2 linked regions of the Oryzias latipes genome follow. The protein of the gene in region 1 purifies or fractionates together with the protein of each later gene. This does not show direct contact. Links are inferred from orthologs where the notes say so. Each region holds a gene or a part of one and is shown on either strand. Other genes may lie near its edges.

The links.
Region 2: the proteins of pre-B-cell leukemia transcription factor-interacting protein 1 (region 1) and long-chain fatty acid transport protein 1 purify together in Homo sapiens (co-immunoprecipitation; 3 studies listed by BioGRID and IntAct, with this or other methods). This does not show direct contact. The link is inferred for Oryzias latipes from reciprocal best matches to the Homo sapiens genes PBXIP1 and SLC27A1.

What each region holds. Positions count from the first base shown.
Region 1 is NC_019869.2:880,631-896,770, reverse strand, and holds pre-B-cell leukemia transcription factor-interacting protein 1, read left to right. Parts: upstream 1-2,001; 5' UTR 2,002-2,336; intron 2,337-2,367; exon of another isoform or gene 2,368-2,532; intron 2,533-2,880; 5' UTR 2,881-2,936; coding exon 2,937-3,008; intron 3,009-6,258; exon of another isoform or gene 6,259-7,122; intron 7,123-7,242; exon of another isoform or gene 7,243-7,582; coding exon 7,583-7,670; intron 7,671-7,749; coding exon 7,750-7,817; intron 7,818-8,262; coding exon 8,263-8,869; intron 8,870-9,808; coding exon of another isoform or gene 9,809-9,810; coding exon 9,811-10,020; intron 10,021-11,453; coding exon 11,454-11,497; intron 11,498-11,578; coding exon 11,579-11,674; intron 11,675-11,750; coding exon 11,751-11,931; intron 11,932-12,164; coding exon 12,165-13,111; 3' UTR 13,112-14,160; downstream 14,161-16,140. Other genes in the region: protein S100-A13, read left to right, coding at 15,962-16,090. UniProt on the Homo sapiens protein: Regulator of pre-B-cell leukemia transcription factors (BPXs) function. Inhibits the binding of PBX1-HOX complex to DNA and blocks the transcriptional activity of E2A-PBX1.
Region 2 is NC_019866.2:9,138,587-9,155,339, forward strand, and holds long-chain fatty acid transport protein 1, read right to left. Parts: upstream 9,266-16,753; 5' UTR 8,867-9,265; intron 8,577-8,866; 5' UTR 8,576-8,576; coding exon 8,409-8,575; intron 8,329-8,408; coding exon 7,934-8,328; intron 7,537-7,933; coding exon 7,369-7,536; intron 6,872-7,368; coding exon 6,802-6,871; intron 6,705-6,801; coding exon 6,613-6,704; intron 6,533-6,612; coding exon 6,423-6,532; intron 6,332-6,422; coding exon 6,122-6,331; intron 6,041-6,121; coding exon 5,914-6,040; intron 5,817-5,913; coding exon 5,679-5,816; intron 5,492-5,678; coding exon 5,327-5,491; intron 5,248-5,326; coding exon 5,101-5,247; intron 4,998-5,100; coding exon 4,840-4,997; 3' UTR 3,955-4,839; downstream 1-3,954. Other genes in the region: zinc-binding protein A33-like, read left to right, coding at 1,247-1,654, 2,460-2,555, 2,643-2,873, 2,966-2,988, 3,094-3,212, 3,290-3,828; prostaglandin F2-alpha receptor-like, read right to left, coding at 10,227-10,475, 10,616-11,512; adhesion G protein-coupled receptor E1, read right to left, coding at 15,274-15,315, 15,528-15,623, 15,751-15,919, 16,160-16,251, 16,331-16,391, 16,553-16,753. UniProt on the Homo sapiens protein: Mediates the import of long-chain fatty acids (LCFA) into the cell by facilitating their transport at the plasma membrane.

The sequences.
Region 1 (16,140 bases):
AAACAGCTAACGAGTTAGCTAAAGTTAGCAAGCTAGCTAACGCTCTCCGCCAAGACTCCCAAAAAGTTGGAACACGATTGCAACTACGACACAGAATGTGATTACTCATTTACCTTTATAAAGCGGAGTATATTAAGCAGTGTAAGACAGTATAGCGGTATTCCAGCGTTTCCACAACAGCGAACTACTTCCTTTTCCTTGTTTCCCTCTCGAATGCGTGAGAAACCGCCGTCTGATCATTCAAATAGGCCAGCCTTCATCCCATTGGCCAATCCGGCGGAAGCTGATCTGGTGGCCGGATATGACATCACTTTTTATGGATATGACGTTGTGTGTACGACTTTCTAATTGGTCAATGTCTGGAAACATTAATAATAATAATAATAATAAATAAATAAATAATAATAGTTTCTTAAAAATACAGAATTTTCTACTAATAAAATTACAAATATTTACTAAATAACTAATAAAAATGTCATAGTTCCTTCTTTCATTAAAACAAATAATTTACAATCCACAGTTAAAATAGCTAAAATAAGAACAAAAATGAATGAATATATCTAAAAACTTTTCATAAACACCATTTCTTTATCAGAATCACATTCAAAAACCTTTAAAAAAGCAATGGTCCACAGAATAATTGCAAATCATTTGGATTATTTTATTTTTAACGCTTAGCTTAGAGTGTGTACCTTTCTTCTGACATGGTTCAAACACATCTCCATACGTGGTCCATGAGTTTAAAATATCAAAGGTTTAACCAGCTTTGTGGCGATGCGATACAGTCCAATTTTATCATAAACTTTTTTACTAAAATGGAAACAATCCACGTCTGTTATTGCACTATAAATGAAATGCGTCTTAACAGAGAAACTCCTTGATTTTATTTTTAAGTAACAAAAAAAGAGTCTAAAGGACATAAGTGCTTTAAAAGAGTCAAACCTGACATTTCGGGTCTTTCAGACGGTCTTGTCCGTTGATGTCATATCAAAGTCTGTCATTACTTTACTAAAGCATGTTCGCAGTGCCGTGAAAAAAGGGTTATCATGTGTTTAGTGAACATAAACCTCACTGTGGTTCACCTTCTGCCAATTAGGATTGGTAAAAACACGCGTGTGATTGAACATGTTTGTTTGCATCACACATACATGCACAGACAGTAGAGACACAACAGGAAGACAAAGGTTACCAGAGACTGATTATTTACTTCTGGGTCAATTTGATCCCTTTGTACCCAACAATCTTGTCAGTTTCTGTTGTTTCTAACCACTCTTAGTATTGATTTGTTTAAATACATATCTTATCACTTAGATGCCGACCTACTATTCAAATTCAATTTACCGGTCTCTATAAGAGAAAAGGGATTGTCTGACTTGTTTGTTTTATTCTACAAAATAACTTGAAACCAACTTGATTTCAGTAAATGTGGACAGAAAAGTGAGGTGTGAGCTTTCTTCTGTCACAGCAATGATTTCTAGAAGAAAAGACGGCTGTGGCGTTCCTGTACATTCATGAGTTGGTTTATATTGGGGCAATATCTTGGTTGTTTAGCTCTAAATGACCCTAAATGGGAATGAGGGATGGATGGAATTACAGTGAGGGAGGTTCTGACTCCCTCAGAGGACTCCTGTGTGTTGAGTTCCCACTAAAAAGCTTTATTACGGTTCAGGAAAATCAACGTTCTACTTAAACATTACAGTTTAATAAAAGGCCGAGAAGTGTTCTCATGGAAAAGGATGTCTGCTTCTTCTTCTGCTTCTTCTTCTTCTTTTCGCTGACTGATCCTGTCATTTTCTGACCCTGTGGGTTTCAGATGATTGACATGATGACAGAAGTGTCTGCAGAGGAGAAATCGGAGTGCAGGGGTTCTCCACGGGGGTAAGTCCCACAGTCAAATATAGTTCTGCAGACGTGTCAGTCCCGGGCTGGACCGGGACCTGCTCCCACCCGCCTATATATACATGTGGAGGGAAGGAAGGGCCCCCACGCCACGGCGCGCGCTTTCAACCAAACCCACCAAGAAGAAGAAGAAGAAGAAGAAGAAGAAGAAGAAGAAGCTCGGCCTTCACCTGCCGTTTTCACCTGGATGCGTCAATCACGCTGGCCTGCATGTCGTTCTCCGTGACACCACGTGACCGTCTGATTGGCCCGTCAGTGGTTTGGGGGCGGGCGCTCCCAGGCGTTTGCTGAAATCCCATTGGAGGACAGCATTCAAGGTTGATGTGACGCAGCTTGGAATTCCCAAAGTTTTCGAGTTCTCTGGAGGAGAAATCTGTTCTCCTTTGGCAGAAAAGACCCAGGAAAAGGTTCTGCAGAGCTCTGGTCCACAGGAGCAGGTAGGACCGGGTCGGCCCGGGTTGACAGCGCCGCTCCGGGCTCGGAGGAGGAGGGGGGGATTAGCGCGTGTTTGTGAGGCGCGGGGCTGAGCGGGGACACGGAAGTGCGGGATTGGGAGTTTTTGGGCTCCTTTGTTTATCTCCGGGAGTGAAGGTTCAGACCGGTGCAGGTTCTCCAGGGAACCCCGGTGGACAGGTGAGGATGGCGTTCTGCGCGCTCTCGATCAGCGCGTTCTCGCTCCGGTCGATAACGGTTTATTGGATGAATGGATCATGAGACAGAATGATCGATTACAGATTTATTGGAAGAAGTCCAGATGTCTGCAATGTTCCGCTGCGCAGCAGCTTCATACCATGTTGCGTAACGACCACCGGCCGCTTATCCGCGGTGCGCAGAGCAGCTTAGCGCCGGTTACGTAACGGCTTAGAACCCCGCGCACGCTCCGCCGTCCGCTACCGTCGCGTCTGGAGCGGCAACCGTGAAGTCCCACAAGGCATCTCGGCTCTGGTATGTTAAACTGAAGGCTGCTGTTGTCATGCGCAGAACATCCGAAAAGCCAACCAGCCTCCTGCTGTACCGATTCTGGCCTGAAGGGGGCGATGTCGGACAGCAGCAACAGCACCGGCAGCAGCGGCTCCTCAACCAACAGCTGGACCCTCCTCTCTCCCGAGGTGAGCAGGGGCGGAGTCGCGATGACGTCACCTCAGGTTCATGGCAGTACTTTTTTTTTTTTTTTTGCTTTATTGAACACAATACAAAACAACACAAGAACATTTACATAAAATTAACAAAATATGGCGAATACAAGAAATAATACTGCAATTTGAAAGGAAGCAAAAAAACAAAACAAAAATTCTTATCAGTATGCATATATAAACCTGTCCATAGTCATAATCATAGAGAAATTAGGGAAAAGTATAACATAAGGAAACAAGAATTCCAGAGTTGGATTATGTTATAATAAAATGCAGGGGGGTACAACAGATAAATAAATGGTCTCGAATATTGGGAATTTATCAATATCTACTATGATGATCAGCCAGTAACCGTGTTCATCTGCTATATGGGACACAATTTTGTCTTGGAAGTTTTGGAGAAGTACAGCGACCCCTACTGATCTGGAATTGCCATGACGGAGGAAACCTTGTCCCCCCCCATTGCTGACACCAAAATGATTTATCTGCATTTGTAGAGTGCGTTTCTTGTAAAAAAAAATCAAAATCAACATTTTTCCCTTTACAAAATAAAAAAAAAACAAAAAACAAATAAACTTTTTCTCTTTGTTAGATCTCTCAGACCTCTTGCATTTAAATAAAGTAAAGAAATACCTGTTTTAAGGTGCAACATGTAACAAAAAGGCAAACTTAACAGACCTAAATGAGGCTGAAAGTATTACTGAACAAAAACTTTTAAGCAACAAAACCTTGAATTTACAATAACCATCTTAACTAAATAAATTGCAAGACTAACTAAAGTCATGGAATGACTCTCTGACCATTAATGAAAGCATAAGGACCACGAAACATTGTCTTACAACCATTCTTTCTCGCCTGCTCAACTTTGGGCCACACCGCTTTCCTTGCCTCTCTGTCTTCTTTGATGAGGTCTTCTGCAAAGCGGATGTTGAGGTCTGGACAGACTGGATGGTGTTTAGTCATTCGCCACAGTTCGTCTCTGTATCTCCTTCCTGTGAACTGAATGATGATTTGACGAGGGCGGTTGACGTCGGTTGGGCCCAGCCGGTGTACCGTGTCCAGAATGTTGTCCACTTTCTCTGTCCAGGGTGGTGCGATCTTTGTGATGAGATCTGCCACAATTCCTCCAGTGTCTTCCCCTTTCTCTTCTTTACCGCCATTTAGTCTCAAGTTCCATCTTCTCTTGTATCTTTCCGATTCCAATGTTTTCTTTTCCATCTCTGATGTTCTCTGCTCCAACTCCACAGTTTTCTCTTTCAGACGTTTCACTTCTTCTTCCAACTTTTTATTTCTGTCTTTACATTCTTTGATTTCAGCAGAGTTTAATTCCACAGCCTTGGCTATGGTGGATATAGTCAGAGTGTTTTGCTGCAGCTCCGACTTAAAGTCCATCATCATGCCTTTGAGGCTTTCAATTGCAGCCAAGATTGCGGCGTTTGAGGCTTCTCCTGGTCTGAGAGAGCGGGTTGCATCTGGTCTTAGCTTGTTTTGTGGCGCAGCTGGCTTCAAAGGTGATGCCACGCTGTTTTTTGTCCCCTTAGCATTTGTTTCCATGTCCTCAGGCGTGCAGTAGTCATGTGGAAACAGCATTTTAGCTCTAGCATTAGCTGTAGCTTTAGCATTGGGTTTAGTAGCCATGCTCGTATAGTTATTGGGCCTGTTAGGCAATCTTCAGTTGGCTCCTAAACTTGCTTTGTTTTATCTTGATATCCAGTGGAGAGTCGGTTTTGTAACTATTCCGTCCTAAAGTAACATTTTCAAGGTTATGTTGCGCAGAACGCTTACCGGACGTTTGCTCCCATCGCCATCTTGCCGCGAATCCCATGGCAGTACTTTAGAACAGTGTTTTTCAACCAGTGTGCCGCGGCACACTAGTGTGCCGTGGGAGATGGTCAGGTGTGCCGTGAGAAATTGCCCTCATTAACTGATCTAAAAACAATTACCATCTCCAGGAAATCAGCTCTTTGTTCATCCAAACAGGTCCTGATAAAACACTGAGAAGTTAAGAATATGAAATATCATAAAATTATTTTTTCTTTGTGTTTATATGATTCTATTAAAGACATTTTGATAAGAATAACGGGATACCGCGATTTAGCTGCAGCTATAACTGTGTAAGGAAAAGTCCCGCCCCTTTAACTGTCTCCACCAATCATTCTTGAAGGCTTAATCACATGTCATCAGTCTGACCAATCAGAAGTGGTTTGAGTATTCACTTCCTTGTTTCGATTTAGCGCAAAAAAGTCTCTCTGTTCTAACAAAAATACCAGCTAAAGCTCGTCTTTAGCGGTGTAGCTTTCCACAGAATCTGGTATCAGACTTGAACAAGTGAACAAAACCATGAAGCTCAAAGACGCTGGTCTTTCTGCGGTCGGCGGATTACGGGTACTACATCTCCCATGATGCAGTAAAGTGACTGTCTTAGCGCACAATGAGTCTCTCCTCTCAACGTCTTAAAACAACGAACACACATCAAACAGTTTTTGAATCTTTTGACTGAATTTTTAATACATCTTTTAGAAAAAACAGCTGCAGCTTCCAGCGTTTTCTGCAACAATTATCACAAAAATGCATGTGAGATTGCAGAGCGGCGGTAGATCAATAAAGACTGAGCCTTTTCTTTATTTTTTATTTATCTATTTTTTTGGATGCTGGTGTGCCGCGGGATTTTTGTCAAGGTTAAAGTGTGCCGTGGCTGAAAAAAGGTTGAAAAACACTGCTTTAGAAGAAGCATTTTGAAAGACCTTTCAACAAAAAAACAAAAAATAAAAACCTTGAAAGACCTTTAAAAATGCTCTTAAAACACGATTTGAACCATCGCTGCATGTAAACCCAAACCTGTGAATTTACACACTGAAAAACTTCAACCTTCATTTTATGTCACAGATTATTTTATATCCTTGAGTCTGTGATTATAAAATGAAACCCTATTTAAAATAAAGTCCTATATAATTCTCTGGACTGTTAATTACTGTCAGGATGATTGAGGGACAATTAGAAAAATAAACATTTTACGACTTTTCCTAAAGAAAACATAAAAAGAGTTCATGTTTCCATGGAGACGAAACGCCACGAGGCTACAGAAATCATCCTTTGGGTCATTATGACCCATGAACTAGAAAAACATTTGAACACAAGAAATGAGTTAAAAGGCCACACAAACACACACACACTCTAATCCAGATACACACACTCACACAAACAAACACACAGAGTCTAAGCAGCATTTTGTTGTTTTGCGGGATGATTAAAGGGTTTTTATAATTCACTTCATGAAGAATATGAAAACGGAAGGAAATTCCAGATTGAGAACTTTTTTTTCCAGTTTTCAGTTTAATTAAATCAGAAATAAGCTTAAAAGGGATTTTGTGTTGAGTAACAGAAAATATGATAAAAAAAAGTAACATGTTGTTTCAACAATAGATTTTACATTTTAAAATTCAATGAAGTTGCTTCATTTTGGGGGCTGTGGTGGAGTGGTTCTGTTTTGACCCGTAGGACAAGGGAAGCCGATGGAATCTCAAAATCACAACGGGTCATTCTGACACCAAACATCTTATTGTGAAAAACCTCAGAGGTGTGTCTGCTAACGTGTCACGTCACACTGTGCACGTTTGGCACGCCAGAAGGACCACGGCTGTCCAATTCCCTGCATTCCTCTTTGATTCCGGATGTCATTCCCGCCGCCGTCGCCTTCTGAGGTCACGTCTCTGCTGTGCGGCGCTGCTCTGGATTGCTGGCAGACCAGTTTTAACTTCCTGGACGACTGTCTTCCGTTTGTTTCCTAACACACTTTTGGTTTTTTGAAGTGGATAGATGTGTCCTTTAAGGGTCAGTGTTAGGGTTAACCCTACTGCTTTCTTTTCCAAACGGCGTGTCTGCTGTCACATGTAGATGTAGCTTCCACACGCGTGTACTGGTGGTAGTTTTCGCCAAAGTTACAGGGTCAAACCAGGATCAACGTAGAATGAAGGAAATGGGAGAACGTCATCACTGCTATTGACTGTAAATGAGAACTGGACTGAGAGACTCCTCCCTCTTGGCGTTCCAAACAGGAAGTGGCTCCAAGAAGCCAAAATGCCACAGACGTCTATAGAGAAATAAACCGCTGTCAGTCAGAAGAACCATTCTGGATCTGAGACTTTTTTTTCTTGATAATCCTAATTTTTGTTTCATGATCATTTTTCTGCTGTTCAAATTATAAACTGACCTGATTGGAAAGAGTGGTTGCCATAGAAACGTCGACTTGGACCAATCACTGGTTACATCCGGTTCAGAGATGGCGGCGTCCCCATCGTAAAAAAACATGAAAAGCATCACATAAAGCATAAGTGAATCAAAACACGAAACACAATAAAAACCTGAAGGTAAAAAGTTGGTTTTTCAAAATAAAAGCGGAAAATACAATATTGCCTTTAGGAAACTTTTTCTATTAAATGTGGAGTTTTGAGATGAACTGAAAAGGATCAAACCAAAGCAGTTGGGACTTTTGTACATCCGTGTCTGCTTGTATCGCCGTTTCCAAACCGTCTGTTGATGTCTTTACGCAGGAGGCCGCCGCCATTGAGAGTGTGGGGCCCGTGGACGACGGCACGGAGAGCCTGGGCGACGCCCCCAGTCTCTCTGAGGAAGTAGCAGGTATTTATCCACACACAGGCTGATTGTGGAGCCCGCACTGACCGTCCAGATCCCACTCTGATCCCCCATCTTCCTGTAGGAGCGGCGGCTGAGTTCAAGCCGGCTGACATCGCCGTGGAAACGGTGCTTTCTGAAGAAGGCCATCAGGTAGGTGGTTCGGTCAGACGTCTGCTCTGGCCCTGCAGGGCTGTGAGAACAAGAACAGAGATCTCTCATCCCCAACCGGGACATTCATTCCTGTAGCGTTCAAGGACAGACGGAACTCCAGAGGAACGTCTACGGCCCGGACGCTTTCTGAGCTGCTGAGGGAAAGACGTTAGCCACACCCACTTCAAATGTTCAGCCAATCACACGATAGACTAGACATGACGGATAGGAAAAGCTCTAAGTGGAACCCAGTTCTGCAAACACATCATCATAAAATGTATTTTAACAATTCAGGGTTGTTTTCTCCAAAGAATCCAGAATTGTTTGTCAGCAGACGAGGAAGAAAAGGCTGTTCACTCAGAGTGGGCGGAGTCAAAACACCTGAACTTCACCTGAATCAGTAACTCCGGTACATTAACTCAGGTAATCTGTCTGCCGTCACCAGGTGTGTCAAGAGACCTCCCCCGAGTCCAGCGAGGGTCCCATCCCGTCTAGTCCCGCCCGCATGAGCCCTCGCCCTAGCACCCCCCTTGACCCCCCCGACCTGGACTTGGAGAGTCAGCCTCCGGTCATTCACGACATCGTAACCACCTCCCCCAGTGACAACGAGCACCTGGGGGGCGTGTCTTTTGTCACCAACATTGATTTGAGCGCTCCCCTCGATGTTCCAGAGGTTGAAGTTTCCTCAGTGGAAACTGAGCTGCTGTCCTTGGCTCCGCCCACAGCGGAATGCTCCGCCCCTGCCGAGGTCGACACATCTGCCGACTCCGGTTCGATTCCCTCAAGTGACGTTGGGGAGACGCCTGACCGCACAGCTGAACCTGACCCCCCCACAGAGACTATCACAGCCACCAGCTCTTTCAGTGTCGAGGCTGAAAGTGGCGTGATTCCAGAACGAAAAGAGCCGCCGCCGCCACTGACCAGACAGTCGGATGATGAAGGTCCCGCACCGGAGACCAGGGGTTTGGCTGAAGAAGAGGAAGAGGAAGAGGAGGCTGCTGTGAAGCCAGAGATGCAGACTCAGGAGGAGGAAGAGGAGGAGGAGGAGGAAGGTAGGGAGCTACTGGAGATGAATTCTGCTTGGTCTGACATCATTGTATTGATTGATTGATACCTCCTTAACGCCTCAGTCGCATGCACCTGCGTGGGGGGGTTGACCTGTACCTGTGCTGTGGAGGGTCGTAGAGGAGCGGTTGCCTGTCGACGGGAGGACAGGGGTGTATTTCAGTCCCCTTGAGGCTCACATGGCCACCTAAACGGAACGTAGCATTGTGGTGTATCTGGTAAATGTACGGGGACGTATTCGTAAGGCTTAAAGCAGGTGCACGCACCTGACGTACAGGTGATGCTGTCGTACGCTGTCCTCACGCCACACTAGTTGTCAGTAAGGTGCGAGTACTGACTCCATTTTTTTCATCTGCTGACCCCCCGTGTCCACCTGTAAGGACAGTTGGGACTAAAGCTTCCTTCACACGACCATTTCCAATGAAAAGTCTGAGGAAACGCGCGTAAATGTGCATTTCAGGCCGCTACCAAAGTCCTGAACCACCGTCTTCCGGCTCCACGTACAAAACCTGCAGACATTGAAAGTTTCAAACTAGTTGAACTTTGAGCAAACAGGGACTCTGATTTGTTAGTGACGTACGGATGGCGTCCATTTTCAGGAGAAATTAAGACATTGCCATTTGTGTCCAGACAGAATTTAGCAGAAAGCAGAGCAGCAAACAGGACTCTGGCTTTGTCAGCATGTTTTTCATATGTGTCACGTAAAGCCCCCCCCCCCTGCTGGGAGCGCCGGGGAAACCCAGGCTTTTAACCACGATGGCATCCTGTTCTCCAAGCTGTCCTTTACAGAGCTGCTCCTCATTCCTGAACACGGACAGCTGAGCCTCTGAGGATGATTGACTGGAGTTGAAGGACTCACACGCTACGCTATGTGGTCGTTTGAAGACGGACTTCCTGCTGGTTTCACGTTTTCCTCGCCTTCCCTCAGACCCGAGCGGCAGCTTCGACGACGGCCTGAGGAGGAGGAACGTGGCCTCCTTCGATGCGGCCAGACCGCGGACTTCAGACGAGGACGACGACGAAGAGGAGGTGGAGTTGAAGTTGCCGGAGAGGGGGGAGGAAAAGCCCTGGTTCTCTGTGAACAAATGCATTGTGGGAGCTCTGGTCCTCCTCTTCTTAGGTTCCCTTTTCCTCTCAGGTGAGTTCTCCTCTCATAAAACCTACTTCTGCTTTTCAAACATTCGTTCAAACGTCGTCGACGATCACAAATCCATCACTGTCATTAGCTAATAACCTCAAACTCTTTGAGCCAACTTTATTGTTCCAACTGTTGTTTACAACAGTCCCGATTGATTTGGTTTTCGCTCCACAATCGTCATTTCAAATAATTCCAGGTTTTATTTTATGCAGCAGATGCTTCTACCTGATCAAGTCCGTCTTTAATGACCTCGAGTTCAGCTGATTTTTTATTTGTTTACTTGATAATAAACACAACGTTAAATCCCACATTCTTTACCAAACACTTCTCCATCGCTCTCTGGAAAAGGTCACCAGGATTTTTCATAACGTTTCTTTGGTAACAGTTTATATTATTATTGTTAGTTACTGCATAATTAAGCATTACTAAGTGTGTTTTTAATGCATTAGTTAGCAGTTGACTGTTATTATTATATACTATATTATTATTATAACCATTTATGATGCATAAATGGGAACACTTTAAAAAACAGTTAATGTAGTTTTGTGCAGTCATTCTTTAAGATAAGCCAAAACATTTGTTATAACATGATAACAACCATCATCCTGGGATTCTTCTGCTTTAGTATTTTAGAAGGACGTCCAGGCCTTTTCCTGGACTTGGTACCAGTTCTGGTTTGAGATCAAATTATTGCAGCTTTTATTGCTAAATCATTTCAGGGAAATGTCTGAAGGAGCTTCAAGCAGCTTTGGATGATCGCTCTGCAGTTTTCTTGCATAATTAAGAATTCAGAGAGCGACTTTGACCAGATCTGGCAGAGTGTCACCCTGTGAGAGTAGATTTGATCTGATGTTAAAGAAAAGAAACAAAACTCCAAACGGATCTAAAAATGTCCTTTTTGTTGGAAAGGATTCGCCGTCTGTTTGACTGACGGCTCTCTACCTGTTGCTCCTCCTCCTCACCTTGTTTCCTGTGACCCTCGGTGTTTACGGGTCACATCAGCTGCTCTTTTGCTGGAGTCAGCCGTATCCTTGTGTCCGTTTAGGGTTTTGCTGACGAAGCTGCTGGGAGTCGCCGGGTTTCCTCTGTGAGCAGAGCCCGCGGCGGCGGCAGCGGCGGTTCTGCGCTGGCGGCTGGATCTCAGTTTACTGTCAGAGCTCACATCCATTGTGACGGCTGCTGCTGCTGCTGCTGCAGAAAGAGGCCGTTCTAGTCCCAGAATCAGGCTTTGGTCCTTTTTTCAGGATTTGCTGGGTTTCTGAGCAGGAAATCGAAATCTTAGATCTTTGATTTTGAGGATCTAATTCATAAAATGAGTCTAGAATTCAGAAATGGGATGAAGTCTGTTCTTTTGGGGCTGTGGGGTGTGGGAGGGGAGGTGGCGGCTGTGCATCATACCGCGCTCACACGTGTGATGTTCCGTGTTCTGACAGGTGACTTTGACGCCTCTGAGCTGAGTGATGGAGAACAAAGTCAGGTCTGTTGTTCCATAAAACCTCTTCAAACCACAGAAACTAACAATCAAACTGATGACAATGCCGATGTTCGTCACATCCAGGACTGGCTCGGCCCCGATCCTCAGGATATGAAAGCACTGATGGACAAACTGCTGCAGGAAAACCAGGAAATCCGTCAGCTGGAGAGTCAGCTGCAGGTCAGTACGGAGTCCCGTTGGGGTCAATCCTCCCTAAAGAGAAGCTGAAGAGCTCGTCCTGTTTTGGGTTTTCCAGACGAAGACGGAGGAGCTGGACTTGGAGGTGCGAGCGGCGGCGGCGAGCGGGGACGAGAGAGGAAAGGCGGAGTTAGAAACGGAGAACGCCAAGCTGAAGGAGGAGCTTGGGTCTCTGCCTGAGCTGAAGGAGGAGCTGGAGCAGCTGAGGGCCCGAGTGACGGAGCTTAGCCGGCTCTCAGGTACGTCCGGAAATCACCTGAGCTGCTCGGTCTGATCTCTGTGACCAAACCACGAAAAGATTAGAAATGTCCGTCATGTTAGATGTCTGTCTTTTTAGACCATCAAAGCTTTTCCTATTAAATGACGTTTTTACGTATCTTGAAACTCATTTCTAAGTGAACGTTTATTATAGAAGCTTCCAGAGATGCATCCACCCTAAAATGATTCTCTGATGTTTGTGAATTTTCCACAGCAGTCCCCCCCCCTCCTCCTTCCTCCTCTCGGCCCGATGATGTCGCCGCGGGAGAGCCGGACGCCATGGAGGACGCGGGTGCAGGAGCACCGCTCCAAGAAGAACTCCAGCGACAGAAAGGCCTGCTGATGGACAGCAAGAAGAGACTGGAGGGGATGAAAAAAGACGGGGGGCACAGGAAGCAGCTCCAGGACGGCCTGGAAGAGGTCCGCAGGAAACTGTCCCAACACGTGGAAAGTCTGGGAAAGAAGAAACCGCAGGAGACCAGGCGGAAAGAGGGCAAAGGCAAAAGGTCCGAGGGCCACAGGAAAGAGGAAAAGAAGGAGTGGAAGCACGGCAAAGAGGGAGGATGGAAGGGCAAGGAGGAGGAGTGGAAGCCCCCCAAGGAAAACTCCCACAAAGAGGCCTGGAGGAAGCACCAGGACGAGTGGGAGAGGAAGAAGAGCGAGCGCCGCGTGGACAGAGAGGAGCGCAGGAAGGAAAAGCCGTGGCACAGCCGCTCTCACCCTCCTCATCCTCAGCAGCAGCAGCCCCCCCGGCAGCAGCACCACAGCCACTTCTGGAAAGACCAGGAGCTGAAGCTCCACCGCAGCGTCCGCCCCCAGCTGGGCTGCAGCTCGCTGGAGGACTGCGCCGCCAAGGAGGGCCTCTACCCAGTGGAGCTGCCGGAGTTCGAGGAGCTGCTGGAGGGCTACCTGAGCAAGCTGGAGAGGTCGTCGGCCGAGAGCAAGAGCCGCATCAGGAAGCTGACGGCCGAGTTCTTCGAGGACGGCGTCTTCATCCACGACAGGGCGCTCTTCAGCAGCTTCGCCGAGGACGTGGCCGACGTGCTGGAGGACATGGTGGACCTGTTCGAGGCCGGCAAGCAGACGCGCCACGACTCCCTGGAGGAGGAGATGGAGGAGTTCGAGCGGGAGGCCATGTGGAAGTTCGCCGCCACGGCCTAGAGCGCCGGCAGAGCGCTTCTCGTAGGACGCTCCTTCTCCTCTTCATGGCTGCAGTTCTCGTAGCTTTTGGTACAGAATGTTCCACCTTCATCCGCCATGCTGGACCCAGTGGGGCCACGCCCCCTCAGTGAAGTGTCATGTTGTTTCTTCTAGTTCCAGTGCATGTTCCAGTCAGCGACGTTCACGTGGCTTTAGGGAAATGGTTCTAGTGTCTGCTAGTAATCCACTCCTTCATCCGGTATTTCAGAAGCATCTTCCTGCGTTTGAGCTGAAGCTAAAGGTTTCTGCAGAACCTCTCCGGTTCTGCTCAGAACGGCGGTTCCGTCAGTCTGTGAAGAACCGATCCTCGTGTCTTCAGGATGATCCCGAGTCAGGAGACAGAAGGAAAGGCCGTTCCTCAGATCACTGCAGCACTTTTCCTCACACCTTTCAGAAACGTCTCTGCTTTCGTTCCGGATGTTCCTCCAGAACCTCGGAGGTGAAAGGTCACATTCAGACTGGTCACATTTTTTTTTCCTACCGGGACAGTGTTGCTTTCCGCTGCTCCTCCTCTTTAGCGCTTCTGGTTTGACGTGCATGCAGCCGTTTAGGATTTTAACGTGTTTTTTTCTGAAGCGCGGCGCCAAAACGGAGGTGCAGCAGCTTCTCTGCAGGTCTCGGTTCTCGACGGGACGGCTTGGTGATGAGCAGAGGAGCCGCGTTGTGACGAATGTTCACCCTTTTCAGTGGTTTTGCTGGTCGGAAAATGCTGCCGTGCCTTTACCATGAGGTCTGATTTCATTTGCTTTAGCTGCGAGAAAACGACGTCTACAGAGTTAGCCTGCAGTTTGCGGGACGGAGAAGAATCCTTCAGTCCATTCTTCTCTGCTGGACGTCCCGTGGAGAAGCTTTGGACTCCAGAGGCTTGAAGGAAAGGTTCAACGCAGAAGTTTGCATCCTGTGGGGCAGCAGGACGATGTGATTGATCCCTTTGAAGAATTGTTTTCTTATTCTCCAGAATGTCCTGTTTTTAGGAGATAAATGTTCAATAAATTTTTCACCATCAAGTCTGTAATTGACATTTTTATTTGAATCCTTTGGATCGGAACAAACCATCTGCTCGGCGACGGTCGTTTTGACGGATCAGAAGCATTTATCTGAAAAATAACCTTTTTGTTTCTCACAATTCTTTTTCTTTCTCCACCTTAAAGCAAAACCTCACCAAACGTTGCTCCGTATTCCCGCCAAAAATGAAAATGGTAAAAAAAAAAAAAGCGTGATGACATCACAGCGGGAGGAACCATCTACAAAACGGACGGGGCCAGAAAGGCTTGTGTGGTCAAAAAAAAACTAAACCAAAACACAGGTGTTGGAAATACCCAAAGCAAGTTTTGGAACTATTATGGGATGGCCACAGGACCTACTGCTTGGCGGCCATTTTGAGATAAAATTTAAAATATGGTGATTTTTAATTTTTTTTATTTTCCCACAAGTTTGTGTTTTGTGTAGTTTGTGCAATCGTCACGTAATTTTGAAGAAAGGCCACCAGCTTTAGTCTACGAGGACAACCAACGTTTTGTTGACCTTTGACCCTGGGAAGAGGCCGTCTTAAATCCCCCCCCCAGAAAAGATGAATGACCTTTGGTTCCTTCTACAAATGTAAACTCCGGGGCATTCGATAAATCGCCTCCAAACTCCTGGAAGTTGGTTTCAAAGTTTGTCGATTTTGAACGGCGTGATGGTGGCGAGCTCGCTAAAGAGGCGTTCCCCTGTTCCCCATGTTTTTTTACAGAACTATTGCCAAAATCTATTATGTATGTTATCTATTATAACAACATACAATAAGAACGTATTAGGAATGTGGGCGGGGTTAACAAATAACTTTGTTGCTAAGGAAACCTGAAATGGTTGCTATGTAAAATCAAACCAACAGAATTGCCAAGAAATGTTTTTTTTTCCATGAAGTGCAGCTCTGACCGGCATGGCAGAGGGGAGGAGCCGGAGGCGACCAGTCAGCCGGTGACGGCGGATGGCGCCTGCGGCCCAGAAAACGCCGCTTGGAGCTTTAAATTTAACGGCTGCTGCCATTTTTTTAAACTCGTTCCTTTGGTTTTCTCCTGTCAACTTTGGGTTTCGGGGAAAAGGTGCCAAACAAATGTGTCATTACTATTTATTCCTTTCTAAAACGGTCAAAAAGGCTTCACTCACGCTGGCCGAAGGGCTGATGCTTAACTCAGGTAAACGCACAAACACAGAGGCGGGAAAAGGCCACAAACAGTCACGGAGGACGTCAGCAGCTCAGTCTTTGTCTGAGTTTCTGCTGAAAACATTTCAGCTTCAGGTTTGCATCCAACGAGCTCCAGAAGGTGGAGCGTTGAGCTGCAAGCTTCTCCTTTGGGTTCCAGCAGGAGATCCCTGCAGGCGTTTGTTTGTCCCCAGGCAGCGCCGTTATTTGAGTCATGTTTTCTATAAACGAATTACTGCTGCGGCGTGCTGGATTCCATCAGGCCGGCCTGATGCTATCGCTGCAGCAGAGAGACTGAGGGGCTTTTGTGCCACCATCATCATCATCATCATCATGGTTTGCCCTTTGCAGGTCAGCATGGCAGCTTCCTGCTTTTGTCTGCAGTTTTTCTGATGTAAACATGCAGCCTGGAGGATGGGGGTGAAGAGGAGGGCGTGCTGAGGCTTTTTTCCGCTGATGTGTGCACCCGTGAGGAAGATGAGGCGCGCATATTTAGAGGTGATGGTCAGAATAGAGAGAGACGAGGCTTCAGACACCTGCTGGAAGCAGAGCTAGTAGAACAGCTTCTGGTTCCTCGTCAGACTCCGACTTTCTGTTTGATCGTTTTCTTTGCAGCGTGAAGCAGCATGGAGGCAGCCATCACCACCATAGTCAGCCAGTTCCAGGTGCATGCTGGGAGTGAAGGATGCTCCAGCACGCTGAGCAAAGACGAGTTCCAGCAGCTGGTGGCTTCTCAGCTTCCAAACTTGGTGAAGGTGAGTCTTTGTTCTGGTCTCCACCGTCACCTGTTGGTCTGCTGACGTCT
Region 2 (16,753 bases), on another chromosome or scaffold:
GGACCAATATATAAACATCAGCTAAAACATTTGCTTTTAATTTCCAATTTAAACTCATGCTTTGTATGAACAGCACTTCTTGTAATCATGTGTTCAGTGTTGCTGTAATCTCATGTGAGCCAGAACAGAATCTTAGGTCTTTAATCCTCAGATGACTGAACTTTGGCATTCATTCTTCATAGTCATGTTGTTACACAGCTGAGCATTTGTGCAACCTCCGTTTGCAGTGTCATGTACAATTTCTTGCATTGTCTGTTTATCAAAACCTTTTTTTTTTTTTACAAATATTTTTTTTGTGATGTTTGTTGTTTTGCACTTCTGTCATTCCCATTTGACAATAAAGTGGACTGTGGTTTTAAAAATGAGTCATCTGTTGACTGTACACAACCATTCAGCTAATTTTTGAATAGTTTGTGAAGAACATGAATGCAAAACACCTAAAGCAACAACAAAAAAGGCATTTCCTTTCAAGAACAAGAAGTAAAACCACTGTGAGAAGTGAGAAATGTACTTTAATCTATGGATCTTATGAGGCCAAAGCACGCCAATGCACGAGTATAAAAAAATAATGAGCAATGTATTGACGTAATTTTAATACACAGAATTTTTAAAGCATTTTTTACTAAAGCACCTTTCTGGTTTGTGCTGGTATGTTGGTAAAAGTAGCTGAAAACCACAGATTTCCCTTCCTCATCAATGAAAATGTTGCTAAGCGCCTGCAATGCTCACAAAGGGAACATGAACTAATGCTTATAATACCTGAACTTGACAGACTTTGCTGCTAATCAGCCTCTGCATGTGAAGCACACGTTGAGGGAATTTTTATCCTCTCTTAAGTTGATCTAGAGTCAGTCTGTTTTACAGTTTCAAATGAAGCGCATGTTCAGCTCTGTGCACCTCCCTTTCAGATTATAGAAGGATATCAAGTATAAATCGACTAATTTCTGCAGATTTCGTTTGACTCTTCCTCCATAGTATAACTAATTGATTAGTATATCAGTGATTGATGAAGACTTTTGCATTTGATTTGTGTTATTAATCTGAGGAGACTATATCCTAAATCCTAGTGAGATTTGTACTCCACTGAACAGTGTTAAATGTGAATGTGGTTCCTCAGCCGCACAGGATATCCCTTTGGTAGCAGAAGTATTAACAGTTATTTCTGAGGGATAAGATGAGACAGACTACCAGAGCCGTGGGTGGGGCTTTTTAGGTGCCAGCCTGTTTGACAGCACCATTCTAAAGAATGGCCAGCAGGCGCGTTTACTCTGAAGATGACCTTTCCTGTCCAATTTGTGGACACATTCTTAGTCAGCCCGTTGTCCTCACTTGCAGACACAGGTTCTGCAAAGACTGTCTGCAAGAGTGTTGGGACACGCAGGGCGGTGAGGACACAGATTTAAAGTGCTGCCCTCTGTGCTGGCGTCATTCCTCCATGGATCGGATAGCGGTGAGCAATGTGCTGGAGAAGGCCTGTAAATCCTTTAAAGAAGACAGAAGCAGGAATGACTCAGAAGCTTGCGGAGAGCATGGAGAAAAGCTCACGCTCTTCTGTGTGGAGGATTTAGAACCAATCTGTCATGTTTGTGGAAAATCAGCTGCACACAAGGGGCACAAACTCTATCCTATCGGGGAAGGCACTCATGACTGTAAGGTAGGCCACTGTAATGGTGCAGTGCTTCTTTTTTCACATAAAAATGTTTTTGTTTTCTGTTTCTTTGACACAATTTAATCTGAAAAAATTGCATTATTTAAGTCTTTCTGTTTTTTGAAAAAAAGTTGAGCTAAAATCATGTTTAAAAATCTAAAAAAAGAGGTTTGCTGCCATATTTATTTTATAGTTACCCATAAAAAGAATTTTCCAAAAAAGTGTTTTTGGTATATTGCAGTTTATGTAGTTCATACGCAGAGGATGAACTAACATTTATGCTGTGTTAGGGCCACAGATGGGCTTCTTACCTACCTACAGATTTTTTTATTTTCTTTTTCTGTAAATGCGGTATGCCGATGTAGAATGTGTGAAGGTTTCTTTGACAGAGTTTGTTAACTTTCTAATAATAGATTAATATATTTGGCTTCCTGTTGCCTCTGGGGTCCTGAAAGCACTGAAACTCGACTCTCACAAGGCTTCTGTGACGCGGCACTCATTCTAATGCTGACCTCTTCTGCTGACTTTAGAAACCAGGAAACCCTGAATACCAAACTCAAATGAATCTGTCATACTGTGCCAATTCAAAATTAGTATAGGCTTACACTACTGCTCATTATTTGTGTAAAATAGTAAACCTTTCAATAGTTTTGGGGTTGATTCTACTGTATTGTGGAGCTTTGCATTTAGGAGGAATGCTGGCATGGAGGAGAATGCAGAAGCTGGAAGCACCACACTGTGCTGACAGCTTGGCCACCTGCCGCTTTGACCTTGTTTTAAAAAGTTTGAACCCTTTCCACTCACATTTCAGGAAGAACTGAAGAGTGCACTCCTGCCCTTGAAAGACAAGTTACAGCTTCACAGGAAAGCAAAAACGGTGTGTGAGGAAATGGCAGAACACATCAAGGTATCATAAATCTGTGAGGTTCCAAAATCTTACATTTGGAAGAAGAGCTCATGTGAGAATTTACCTTTCGGTCCCATTTCTTTTCAGAGCCAAGCAGAACATGCTGAAAAACAAATTAAGGATGAGTTTGAAGCCCTGCACCGTTTTCTGGAGGAGCAGGAAGCTGCAAGAGTTTCTGCTTTAAAGGCTGAAGAGGAACAGAAGAACCTCATGATCAACCAAAGAATTGATGAGCTGAGCTGTGAAATAACATCTCTATCCAATACTATTAAATTAGTGGAACAGGAAATGAAGAGTCATGACATCCAGTTCCTTAAGGTAGTGATGACATTTTCACCGAACCACAAAGCTGTGCAACTTGTTTGACTGCATACAGATGTGTTAAAACTGTATTTATAATTTGTTTTCAGAATTACAAGGAAACCATAAAGAGGTAAGCTGCTTTACTTCTAAATCGTCTAAAAGTAATTATTATTTAGTTATCTTGTTTTATAGTAAAAATCTTTTTAGGAAGAATTCTGACAAACTTGTTTTTCAGGACCTGGAAAAGTTGTGATGAGCCCAAGCTGCTGTCTGGTGCTCTGATTGATGTTGCCAAACACTTGGGCTCTTTGAAATATAAAGTGTGGGAAAAAATGAAGAAGATTGTAAAATACAGTGAGTTTCTTGAGGAATAGTTTGATTGACAGGTGAACTTTTCTTAGCTAAATTCTAAGATATATTTTTTCTTTTAGCTTCAGTGATTCTGGATCCCAACACAGCTGCCAACTGCTTCATTCTCTCAGAGGATCTCACCACTATACAGAATTCTACTCAAATATTCAAGCTGCCCGACAACCCAGAGCGTTTTGACATCAGCGCTGAGACGCTGGCAGCCGAGGGCTACTCCTCTGGACGCCATAGGTGGGACGTGGAGGTGAATGACAACACATACTGGGTTTTAGGAGTTGCCAGTGAGTCCATTAACAGGAAGGGTAAACATGTGTTGACGCCAGCAGAGGGATTTTGGACGATCAGGTTTCGCAATGGAGAGCACAAAGCCTGCACAGCTCCGTGGGAGCCTCTTAATATGACAAAAAAACCTGCTGTGGTAAGAGTGGTATTGGACATGGACCGAGGGAAGGTAGCGTTTCAGGATCCCAGAGAGAGAAGCACTCTCTACACTTTCACAAACATCATCTCACCCAAAGTCTTTCCTTACTTCTGCACAGCCTGCAAAGAGCATCCACTGAAAATCCTACCAGCAAGTATTTCCTTATCTACCGAATACTGAAACGTTTGCTCAAATGTTAGCGCCACACATTAACTTACTTGTTTGAAGAATGGAAATATTTTAGTTATAATTAGTATTTTCATTATTTAAAGTAAAACTTGCCTGTACAAATACCACAACATTCAATTGAACATCTGGGTTTTTAATGAATAACATAAAAGAAATGCATTTTGAGAAATTTAATTTAAGTTACAGCAGAAGTGTATTCTAGGTCTCCAATTACAAATCACAATCATGAACATCTATATTACACTACACTGATAAGAACTGTTACACAAAAAATTATAGTGTTTCTCAGCTCCGCATAACACAAAGTCATTCTGTCATATCCACATTCATTTGGCTCCTTTCTCTAAAAATCATTTAGAATAGGAAATGCAAGTTTCATTGAAGGCACATTCAGTAATAATGTTTCTTTGCAAACCCACACCAGTGTTCCTTAAAGTTTCAACTTGACAAGTGGGATTAGTTTTCCATTGCATTAAAAAAGGAAGATCCTATGGGGTTAATATTTGAACTAGCAGCTTTTCCAACTGCATGTTGAAGTCTCTTAGCTTCAATCAAGCACACAGTGGTAATAGAAAATGACCTATACAGCATCAAATGTGCAGCAAAACATGGGTACAGTACCATGTAACAGTGTTTGTCTTGATACTACCCTTTCTGTCCTGACATGACCTGTTTCCGACTGATTACGGGTGATTTCTTCTTAGTGATGCTTGAAGGCTCTATGAGGTGTTCACTTGATTTTAAAATAAAATATCCTATCAAAAGGGCTGCTCCCACTTCATGTCCTTGTGTTAATGACACTGTGTTAAAACATTAGCTGGAGCAGAATTCTGTCTATGTGAGTAGTCTTCTCAACTCTGTTCCCAGATAGGTTAAAGTGCAGACAATGGTGCACCAAGTCTGACTGGTCCAAGCCTTTCTGTATGCATGTCCTATGCTATCTCTTTCAACAACAGTTTATTTAGCCTGTTCAACTGAGGCCTACTGGGTTTGCCTGCCAGGTCATAGGGGAATTCTTCCCTCAACTATAGCATTGTAGAGCTCCTCGTCGATAGGCTCGTATCGTCCAGCACGACTGTTCAAGTAGTAGAGCTGGTCAGTTGTGAGACGAGGATCGAACCCTTCCCTCTGCAGTCTTGTTTTCTGGATTTTGAATGTGCCTAAAAAAAAATGTTGACAAAGTCATATTATTTTGAATCCGTAAATTATTATGGAGACATTAATGAGTGATGGCGGTTCATGTGCAATGGTGGTTCTATTCACCTGTGGTGTCCACCTGTGGAGAGGTCCGTAAGAATACAGGGCGTGCATAAGAAGGAAGTGCTCGCTGGATGTTCTTTAAGAACTTGTCGCAGTCCAAACTTTCAGAGGCATCAGCAATGGCAGCCATTCCTGCCTTACCCTCCACACCTGGTGCAAAATTCACAAGAATAAGGATTACAACGGGTGAGACCCTGAAGACGCTTCAGTGTAAATAGACAGTTGTTACCTGGGACAGCCACACCATACACAGCCACATCAGTCTGATCCAGAAGATTGCTGATTATTCCCTCCACCTCAGTGGTAGAGACGTTCTCCCCTCGCCAGCGGAAGGTGTCGCCACTGCGATCGCGAAAATACATGTAGCCCAGTTCATCCATCACCAGCACATCGCCTGAAAACAGTGAAAATAGTTTTTCAACAGCCATTTAGTTTAATAAACTCACAGTTTTAGGAGGGATAACCAAACAGATCAGGTGAACTACTGAAATGACAAAGCTGGCATCACAACCTTCTAACTTCTAAATTATCTTTTAACATTTTCCAACTGTTTTTTTTTTTACAATGGGAAGAAAGGTTACCTGACATATATGCACAGTCGTTTTTCCTGAAGACATTGTGAGCGATCTTCTTCTTTGTAGCATCCTGGTTAGCGTAGCCATCAAAACGTCGCAATGGGTCCTTCTGGTCAATCCGACCTACAAGGAGCCCTGGCTCCCCTGCAAATTAAATATTGGGATTTCAGATAACCCGCAAGGCATAAAAGAACACCCTCCTTCATAAGCTACATCAGTTTGTGGTCCAGAATTTCATTACCAGGGCGGCAGGGCACACACAGGCCTCGGCTGTCCCGGAGCGGTTCCATGTTCTCCTCATTAACCCTTACCAGACGGATGGGGTACACAAAGGGAAGAATGCGACTGTTGAATCCACAGGCTCCCACCTTAAAGAGCAACACAGAACCAGATTAATACCATATCTATAACATTTTACCATTGCAGGCACATGAACCATAATCGCTAACCTTGCCGTCCATGTTAGCAATACTGCAGTTGCACTCAGTTGCTCCATAGAACTCGCCAATTTGCCTCACTCCAAAACGCTCCATAAAGGCTTCCCAAACACTCGGACGCAATCCATTCCCTATTGCCAGACGAACTTTGTGACCTTTCTCAGATGGGCGGACTGGCTGAGATAAGAGGTAACGGCAAATTTCTCCAATGTACTGCACCACCTGTCAACAGGAAGAAACGTCTTTGTTTTTTACATGACTGTTGTTTTGTAATCAGCAAACACATTTTTCTTCAGGAACTCTTAGCCCTTACAGTGCAGTTGTACTTGATGCAGTCATCCCAGAAGCGGCTGGCAGAGAACTTCCTCTTCACAACCACGGTGAGACCATGGATCAAACACTGTCCCACTCCAAGAATATTACCTGGCAAAGAACACACACACATTTAGCAACACAAACACTGAAAGTGTTGATAAAATACACGGAAGGATTTTTTTTCACACCTGCAGAGTGATAGAGGGGCAGACAGTCATAAATAATGTCTTCAGTACGCATGCGAAAGGCATAGTACCCAAAAGCAGCAATTCTGTAGTAGCTGTAAGAGGAAGTTGAGTTTTTTTTTTTTTTTTAATGTGTCACAAGCTGTACAGCAGTTGAACAACTTTAAGGAGTTTTTCAGAGCAAAAACATACCGACTGTGTACAACAATAGCAGCCTTAGGCAGTCCTGTGGTCCCAGAGGTGTAGATATAAAACAGCCGATCTGCACACAGGATTACAGAACAGTTCTGCAATTACGTACTTCAAGTTTATGTCAAGATCCTAATCAAAGGTTTACATAAGCTTGTATGAACTTATTCACATTTCATTAGCAATTAAAGGCAACTTTTCTCCACTTTCTGGTTGCAGTTTACGTGTCAATCTGAATATATATATTTACTTGGATTACATTCAGAATGCTTACCAAGTAAAAGAATGGCTAAACTAGAATTTCAAACCAAAAACACATCAGCAGGGAGAAGAAATAGGCCTTTTGTGCAAGAAATAGATCACAAAGTTCAAAATCTTACCCAGCAGCCAAAATATACTCCAAGCTAAAACAATTATGTATTACAAGACAGCTAACATTTATACAGAGATGCATAGGTATAGAAATTAATCACATGGGGACAAAGTGACTGCGTTTAGTGGCTGATAAAAAAAAAACTTCTAATTGGAAATCATCACAAGAAAGTTAAGAAGTGGTCAGCCTCTACTCACCATTCATGCCTTTAGGGGGAACACAGGGTGACGGGCTATGTCTAGGTGCAGTAGCTAAAACTGCGTCTAGTGGCTGAGCACCCAAGCAAGCCAGCATTTCTGCACTAAGCTCTCCGGTACAAAATCGTACCATGGACTGGCTGATGGCAGAGTTGACTTCCAACAAAGCTGATCAAGTTGGGAGGAAGACAGTTGATGGGAGGAAAAAGCAGAAGTTCCAAAATTTTAAAAACTGCAATAGAAAATACATGAAACATCAACAGATATTTACTTATGCTGATACATGTGATATTGTAAGATTCTAGGCTACGCTCACAATGTCCTTGATTCATGAGATTTGCACCGCTTTGACATTTCCCACCAAGCCTCTTCCAACTGTAGGTGAGGGACATGCGCTGGTAAACATTAAAAAAATTTAGAGAAGAAGAAGCCCCTCCCTGCTAGTTCAGTGTGAACACCATGGGCTAAATGTGCGTTCAAAAACCTGCGTTTAGCGGATTCTTGAACACGCCTGGTGAAGTAGCTTAAGGAATAACTGTTCACATGTTGTGTAAAACATTCTTACCATCAGCAAGCTCGGCTCCAAACACAATCGCCCGGGACCCCGATACCCCGATGCAGTGCAGAAGGGGATCACAGCGGAGGCTGAAGTTAATGAGTGCAGCTTCCACCCCAACTTTGGCCAAGCCCAGCCAAAGTGCCACCTGGAGAGGTCTGCTTTCCAAAAAGAGGGCAACGACATCCCCGGAGACCCATCCCTGACCTCTAGCCCAGTGGGCAACTGCGTTAGAGGTTTCATCCAGCTGGGTGAAGGTCCACACCTCTCCTGTGGCCTCATAGATCAATGCTGGTTTGTTTGGGTGTTGTTTTACAACCTGGGTGAAAATGGAAGGAATATTGCTTCCGTTCCGCATGTAGCGCCACAAAGCCAGCTTGACTCTGCACAGGACATACAGGCCACTGAGAAGGGAAAAACAGGAGATCACTGATGAACAAAAAGTTGACCTAAAATCAACATCCTTTCCAAACATTTCACCTACTTGATGTCTCTCGTGGCAGTCTTTGCAGCAATGTAGAAATATTTCCAGCTTCTTGCTCCCAGATACGCCCCAAGGCCTGCTGCTAGACTCCAGGACCAGGACACCCCAAAGAGACGCAGCAGCCCCAAGGACCCCAGAGAGGCAGAGACACTCGCTGCATTGTGCATTCTCGTCACGGAGAAAGAAGAAGGGTGGTCTTTTTTTTTTACACAATACTGGGTTTAAGCTGCATGGGCTTCAGATCAGAGGGGGGCTCAAGTAGTGCAGTGCAAACTGGCACACAGGCACGCAAAGAAAACTTTTTATCCTGTCACGAGCGACTAAAAATACACATTTGGTGTAAAAACACGATCTTAGCATTACATATCTACAGTTAATTCTGCTTTAATAAAAGTATCGAGCGTCAAATACCGCGTTCAAAAATGCCACAGTAGCGTAAATGTTTATGCACGACTTACCTATGAGTCAACACTGATGGGGATATCCCGGTTTTTAGCTGGTGACCTCGTCGATGATCGGCGCAACTTTCTGCTGTACTTTAGTGAAGACAAGCAGCTTTCGAAGCGCCGAAAGAAGCTGGTTTTCAGAAACCAGAAGTTTTTGTTAAGTTAGCTCCGTTAACCGCACTCAACGTGGCAGCGATGCAGTAGTTAACCGGGTTATAACGTCTAAGCGGCACAGAAATATTTCTATTAAGAGGTCATTTAGTAAAAAGACCAAGCAATACTAGATCAAAAGAGCCCGTGTTCATTAAATAACGGTAAACTGACGAGGAGCGATAAGCTGTCAGTATATCTGACTAGGTTCTGTACTCCATGTTGCACAGAGCGGTTGGCATCGAAGCCCCGCCCACCGCGGGTGTGAGCTTTGTGTAGCAGATCAGCTATTTGTTGATTTCCCCGCTTGTCAAGCAATTCTAAGTTTTGATTGGACGAATCCATCCAGCCTAAAATCCCAATCACCACTGGGAGCCGCTAAGAATGTCGGACAAATTGTAAGGACGTCGACTCGGTAGAGTCAAATAAAGGTTGTTAAATGCAGTTTGACGCTTGATTACTTTACTTATTGCCAGACATGTCTTGCCGAATGAGTTTTGCAGTTTAATTTACAAGGGGGGAAATTAAAATATTTTTAAATGAAAAGATTAAAGACCCACTCCAAACTGTGTTTTTTGTATTTAACATTGTGTCATTTTTCTCATGATGGAGGACATACAGGCTAGAAAGAAAATTAAGTTTAAAGCAGCATTTCTGAGTATTTGTTTATTCAAGTTGTTGTGAATTACGAACAGTTGAATAAATGCTGCTGGAAAAACCCTGTAGAAGCGATGTAGGTGCTATAGTTTGCGGTCTATAGGCTCCCTGTTTCGCTCCATTCTGATGCATCCAATGACAGAGAAATAGCTCCATGTCTGTCTTTGTTTTCCTTGTTCAAGCTGGTATCTGGCATGCAACTCGATGGCTGGATAGCTCCTACATTCCTCGCCATTTTTGTTGCACCGGTAATTTTAGGTTGGAGTTGTGAGGAGTGTTGCTACCTAATCTGTAAGCATTTTGCAGTCAGAGTATGTCTTCAGATGTGTCACTCGGAGAGGGTGTAAATAAAGGAATGATGGGAAACGAGGGGAGGCTTACTCGGCTTACTCTGCTCCGACAGCCCTGTCCACACCTGCTGCTCTGCAGAGACTATGTCCTAGACAACTGACACAGGTTTTTTGATTTTGGCTAAAATGGCATAATCATAATTAAAAGACCACTGAGAATGTTTTTTTAAAAATAGATCTAAAGATGATTGGAGTGGGCCTTTAAGGAAACTTGGTCAATGCAAACGAAACACCTCTCTTTGATATTCTACAGAATAGCTGTTCGCAGACATTGTTGTTCTTTGAAAGTAAAATCCACGGCAAACCCTTGAAAGCACCGTTTTTCTCAGTAAGATGTAAACCCATGGGTCCAGTATCTGATTCCAGGCAGCCATGCGTAAAGCCAATAGGGTAAACCCATCCTTCATATTAGCTGACAGTCTGGGACTTGATTTGTGCAGGATAATAGTAATGTGGACCTGAAATGTAGGAGAAACACAAAGTTGTCACTTCAAAGTTTCACCTGGTTCTAATCTTATGTTGTTATCAAATTTTTCCCCCAACATTTCTGAAAAAAACTTCAATATAAAAAAGCAAATCAATGAAACAATAGAGTTGTACATACAAGGAATGGGCCCCAGCAGATACAGGACACCACAGTGATCACAGCAAGTTGTACAATCATCTCCATATCCAGTGAACAAAACAAGGAGGAAGATGACGCAGACGATCCTCGTCGAGCAAAACGTGTTGAAGTATTAGTGCTGCTGCAGGACTTCCTTCTCGCTTGGAGTAACACCAGGCCACTCAGGATGTTGCAAAGCAGGGAAAGAGTGAGCGCAGTGAGGCCCAGACAGGAAAAGGTCATCACCAGGTTTTTGTCTGCAGCAGTCTGTGGTTCATGAATTTGCAAAAAGCACCATGTGCCAGGAAACTGGATAGAGTAATTCCCCACACCAAATACAGGTAGTAGAGCCAGAGTACAAGCAACAGAGCACAAAAGCAACACCATTCCCTGTGCATGGGCAACTGTAATAGTGGATATGTGGTAAAAGGGTTGAGTGATTGCAACACAGCGCTCAACTGCCATGGCACATCCAATAAGTAACGAGCATAACCCAAAAAAAACCATGCTTGCTCCAAAAAATGGGCAAAAGTTTATATTGTTGTTTGTAGTAGTTGTCCACTTCTTATTTACGTGCATATGCAGTGCAAAGGCACCTAAGATGAGGTGACCTCCAAGGTCAGCCAAAAGTAATGCCACGGTTAAATGAAAAAATGGTGCTTTAGACTGACGCCGGAATCTTGCTCGTGATTTAGCTAAGATTCCCAAAGCAGTGAGGTTGGAGATCGTGCCAAAAGTCATAGTAAAGCAGGACATCAACAAATCTGGAAGATGGTTGGAAGTTGCAGTGCCATTTTTCTGTGAGGACAGGTCAGAGCAGTTAACCTTCGGGCTCTGCTGGAGAAAAGGTGGTATTGATGAATTAGAAAACGAAGTCACAAGTATAGTGGTGGTCATCGTCGTCTTGAGGGTTATCTAAAGAAAAGAAAATGATTGGCATCAGTTGAAAGCTATGGTGTATTAATTTTCAGTATGGTTTCCACGTAGATGTGTTTCTGTGCTACAGTATTGTAATGAAGTCCACAGTTATTTATCTAAATAAAAATGTGAAGCAATAAACCACATTAGGAGATGTTAAAGTTAAAAGAAGCCACTTGTACACGAAACAATGATGATGAAACTGTGGTTTTGTTGGGTTATTAACTCAGCTGGATGCTTGTGTTTGATTTTATTGCAAATGTTAAAACCACAATGTAAAATGTCTGTGTACAACTGTGCAGTGTACAGCAATGTCCTCTGGGCTCAAACCCCAGGCATTATCAGCCATAGGCCTACTGATATTTTCTAGAGTGGAATATTACCCTTTAAAGTTTAAAATCTCTTTTCTGTTAAAGTACCACTCCTATCATCTTTTCAGCTACTTCAAAAGCATTATAGTGGTGTTTTGATTGTGATTCTGCCATTTTTAGCCAAAATTTAAAAAACCTGTGTCGTTTCCTAGGACATAGTTTCTGCAGAACAGTAGTAGCTCATCAGAAATTTACCTGTGAGTTGTGGGCCGGATCGTTGGCACGGTTTAAGACTACTCCCACTTCCCATCATCCCTTTGTCTACACCTTCTACCGGTAGCTTACAGACCCTCACAACCCCAAGCGGTGCAACTAAAATGCAAGCGATATCAGAGCTATCCAGCCGTAGAGTTTTGATCCAGATGCTAGCTCGGACGAGGAAAACTAAGACATACATGGATCTATTTGTCTGGAAGTGGATGCATTAGAATGGAGCGGAGCAGGGAACTTGTGACCCGTTGATTATAGCACCTCACAGCTATAAGCTTTTTCAAACCACCTTTTTTTGTCTACTCCTGATTCATAAAGATTTTGGAAATAGAAATGCAGCTTTATGCTGAATTTTTTTATATATGTCCTCCACCATGAGAAAAATGCCACAACAACATCTAAAACATGAATCTTATGGGTCTTTAACAGGAAAATGCCTCTTATATTGTATATCACGTGTGCCATCTAGAGAAATTGTATTTAAATCTAGTCTTCAAAACTCATATTTGAAAACTTATTTACAATTTATTATTTATAAAAGTTAATCCCTACTCATCAACTATTTCTTAACAGTTTAAAACATCTTTTCTCTTTGTTTAAAGTTTGAATAAAAAACATATTCAAGTTTGAAGGAAGTTTTTTTTTGAGGAATTACGCTACACATACCAGAAAAAGTGATATTTTCCTCTCAACAGTCTTAATAGTAAGAAAAAGTATGAAGTGATTAACACAAACATGAATGATTTCTTACTTTATTTTATTGCTAAAACAGATCTTAAAAGGTTAAAACACACACTTTTATCTACAAAAGAAACTAAAAGGTACTTCATAAAAAGAAAAAACCTTTAAAGTATTTAGTCTCTTCTCTCAGTGGGATACACATGTAAAAGAAAAATACAAAGCAGACTTAATATATTGGCTTTAAGATGAGGGTGACACAAGTTCTTGATCAAACATTGGTAAATGCTTAAAGCAGACAGTGATTCACATTTTTCTGTCTCTTGAAGGTGAAAAGTTTATTCTCTCTTTCTGAAATTGTGAACTAGTAAAAAAAAAACTGTCCACAAAGTAAGACAAAGGAAATCCCCGAAAACGCTTTGTGCAGTTCTTATTTTTTATTAGGCTTCTTTAAAGATCTTTGTAATCAGAGAATCTGAGTCTCTCCAGTTTATTTTTATTCACTACTACTCTCAGGAATCCTAGCAGTACCACAGATCCATCAAGGCAAGTTAAAACCTGTTCTGCTTTCCTTTACCTACAGATTCCCTATTGGTCATCATCTTATTAGAGAGGAATAAACATAACATATTTTTAATATAGAAAGTATACACAAAAAGATTTTAAATCATGAGTTTAACTTACCTTTAAATAAATAGAAGGTTTTTCTGATGAAGCTTAAAAAACAGTGAGAAAAAAGTATGCTGGGTTTTATCTGTAAAGTTTCCAAATGTGCAAAACTTAAAAATCCCGATTTCCAAAACGCATTTGCCCTTGTCTTCACTGTCTAATTCTTCTTTTCCTCTCTGACAGTTTCTGCCTGCTTCATCTTGCTGTCTGCCTCTTTCACTCTGGAGAGAACTTCTTTATCTGATCTGCATTTTCTACCCTCCTTTCAGCCACATCCGTACTGGATGCGTTACCTCCATCTATTGATCATTGCTGCTCATCCTCTGAAGCAAACTGGATCTCCTCCAGCACTTATTAGGCTTTGTATTATTGATCCACTGATCCAGTGCCTGCAGAATTTTTGAACAATGATATTCAAAATCGGTCATTTTGTATTTTTACACTTTTGAACTTTTTAAAGTTGTACATAGACTTGTTGGTCACTCAGTTGTAACTTTTGATATTTGTCACAAAAACAGAGTCAGAGTTTGGAACCATGGTGACCAGTACTTCAAAGTCTTTCTGGTTTATACCAACTAACCCAGACATTGAGAACAATCTGTCGTACATGCACACTGTTTTAATAGAGTCTGAACCATTTACAGTTCCGGCTTCATAACTTTGTACAACAAGAAGCAGACACAAAGAAAAGTTCAAAGTTGAATTTCAAGTGTTCTCGGAAAAAACATTTGGATGAATATAAATTAAAAAGCTGACCTGCGCCAAAAATACTGGCTATGATTGTTAGGAATGTGAAATATGACATCAAAATAAAGTAAAAAGGTTAAAAAATAAATGATTTAAAGAAAGAAAAAATAAACAGACGATTCAGGGGGTCCAAGATTTTATCAGGAAAATCATGTCTTTTATCTCACGCATACAGGAAGGAACACAAAATAGTCCATTTCCTATGTGTCCACGAGCATTCTTTTACTGTAAGCACTGCCAACTGATCTCAGTAAAGAAAATCTATTTAAAACTATTACAAAAATGCTTCAAGTGTGAAATTGGTTGTAGAAAGTATTTATTTAATCTTTGACAAGTAAAAATACAGGAATTTAGCTTTTACAAGTGAGTGGCAAACAACTTCTTGAGCAGAAATATTACCCCAATGCTAAAACAGACTTTGAAAGCACAAATAGTTTAATAAAATCTCTGCACATTTGGGGAAGCAAGCATTTAGACTGTTGGACATGCTTCTTGATACTGTATATATGAAATGGTTCATTCAAAGTAAAAATCTGTCTTCATTTTCGATACAATTCAAAGGCTGTGGACAAGGAGAGGGAGGTTTTATCACTAATATTTCTCTGACTTTTATTTTCATTAAATTAAGTGCCTAAATGTTATGGCAAACATCAAATACACCTGATGAAACAGTTTTTTTATTTCAAAGTATTTAAAAAAAGTTTTTTTTCTCAGCCATTTAAAACAAAGCCTCAACAAAAAAGGTTGTGGACTGTCATTGTCTATCAGTTTCTAAAATAAGTCTGAAATAACTCAGTTTTAAATTGGATTGTGCTTCATTAACTGACAAAATACAACATTTCTGGATTGCTAAATTATAACTAAACAAATATATTTTAAATGTATTCTTTCATTCTAAAAAGATTAATCTTTATAAAACAATATTTAATAATACTATTTACAAAATAAAATATTTCATCAATATGGTCCACAAATTATGATACATGGCAGTAGCAGCAAGCAAAGTGACTATAAGTTGTGTTTTTTAGCCAACTGTACTTTTGTCCCAGTTCATCGTTCAGCTCCTTAAATTTGAGATTCTCCTGTGTCCTGGGTACTTTTGGATCCCTTAGGATGACAAAAGGATGAGTTCAATTATTAACAAGAACATCTTTGTGAAAAGTATGGTACACTACACATATGTACCTGCTCTGTAATACTCTATTAGCTTAAGACTCTGAGAATCCTGTTTGCTCAGAATAATAACCTGAAGATATTTGTGCAAAAAAAACAACAACAAAAAAACAAGACACTGGTTTGAAACAGAAAGAAGGGCTTACTTGTGGTTTTCTTGTGTGAGAATAACTGAACTCTGAGTAGGTCTTCTTCCGAGGTGCAAAGAGTTGAGACGAGATGTTTCCATATTCTTCCCTTATCTGTATTTATGAAAATATCATAATTATGATTTCTTAAAATAAAATGCCAAGAGACCTAATTTGACTTTGTTGCTTTTTTGGCTCATGCTTACTAAAATTATTTCTAAAAAAAAAGATGCTGACCAACCTGTTTAGAAAGTAGACAGTGCATTACAAAGAGCATCACACCCTGAAGGCTTCCAAAAATGGTGAACAGATAAGTCATGGCAATTGTGCCCTTCTCGAACTGGAAACACCCAAAGATCCACATTGTTCCCAGTATGCACAGCTGGGCAACAGCAGTGATGGTAAATGCCCTGTAGGGGGCAACAAGGACCCATGCAATCACTTGGAGCTACTGCAACATTTGAAGATTTTCATTTCAACGGACATACTTACTTAAATGACTAACTTATGTGATTTTTATTTTTTTAAAGCAAGCAGCAATCATTAAAAACAAAGTAAAAAGTAAGAAACTATTAACACAGCTGTGTAATAAAGCAGTTTATATTTGGGTGTTTTTAATTGAAGTTGTTTGGATAAAAGTTATAACTTACTTTATTTTCTGCAGGCTGTCTAGGTCAGGATTTAGACTTGAGAACTTCTGTGCCAACTTCCAGGCGGTGATTAGAAAGAAGAAAATGTTGACCTGAAAGACATATACAAAGGTTTTAAAACAAACTGGAGTCAATAAAAAAGAAAAAAAAAGAAAAGAAAAAAAATCATACAATGATGATGACACAGGCAGGCCCAAAGAAACTCCAGATTAAGTCCAAACTCAGCCAGCAACTGAAATACACATTTAAAGATCATTTATCCCAATCAAATTTCTAATCAATAAGCAGAAGCAAAGTAAAACTAAAGATGACGAATTTAAACAGGAAAAAGAAATGAACTAAGCAGTGTAACTTTCAATAGTTGAAATACAATGAGAAATTTGGGGAACTCACTGTCTGTCAGTGCCATATTCTTTGTGACTAACCAATGCAGAAACAGCAACAATTACTGCTGGGACTCCATAGCCTCCTGCCATCATGTACAATGTTTTAAAGTTGGTGTTGAAAACCAGAACCACCATCCTGAAGAGCTGGATGCCCTCCAGACACATCCAGCAAAATGCTGAAAGGTAGAAAAAATGCAGCATTCCTGCC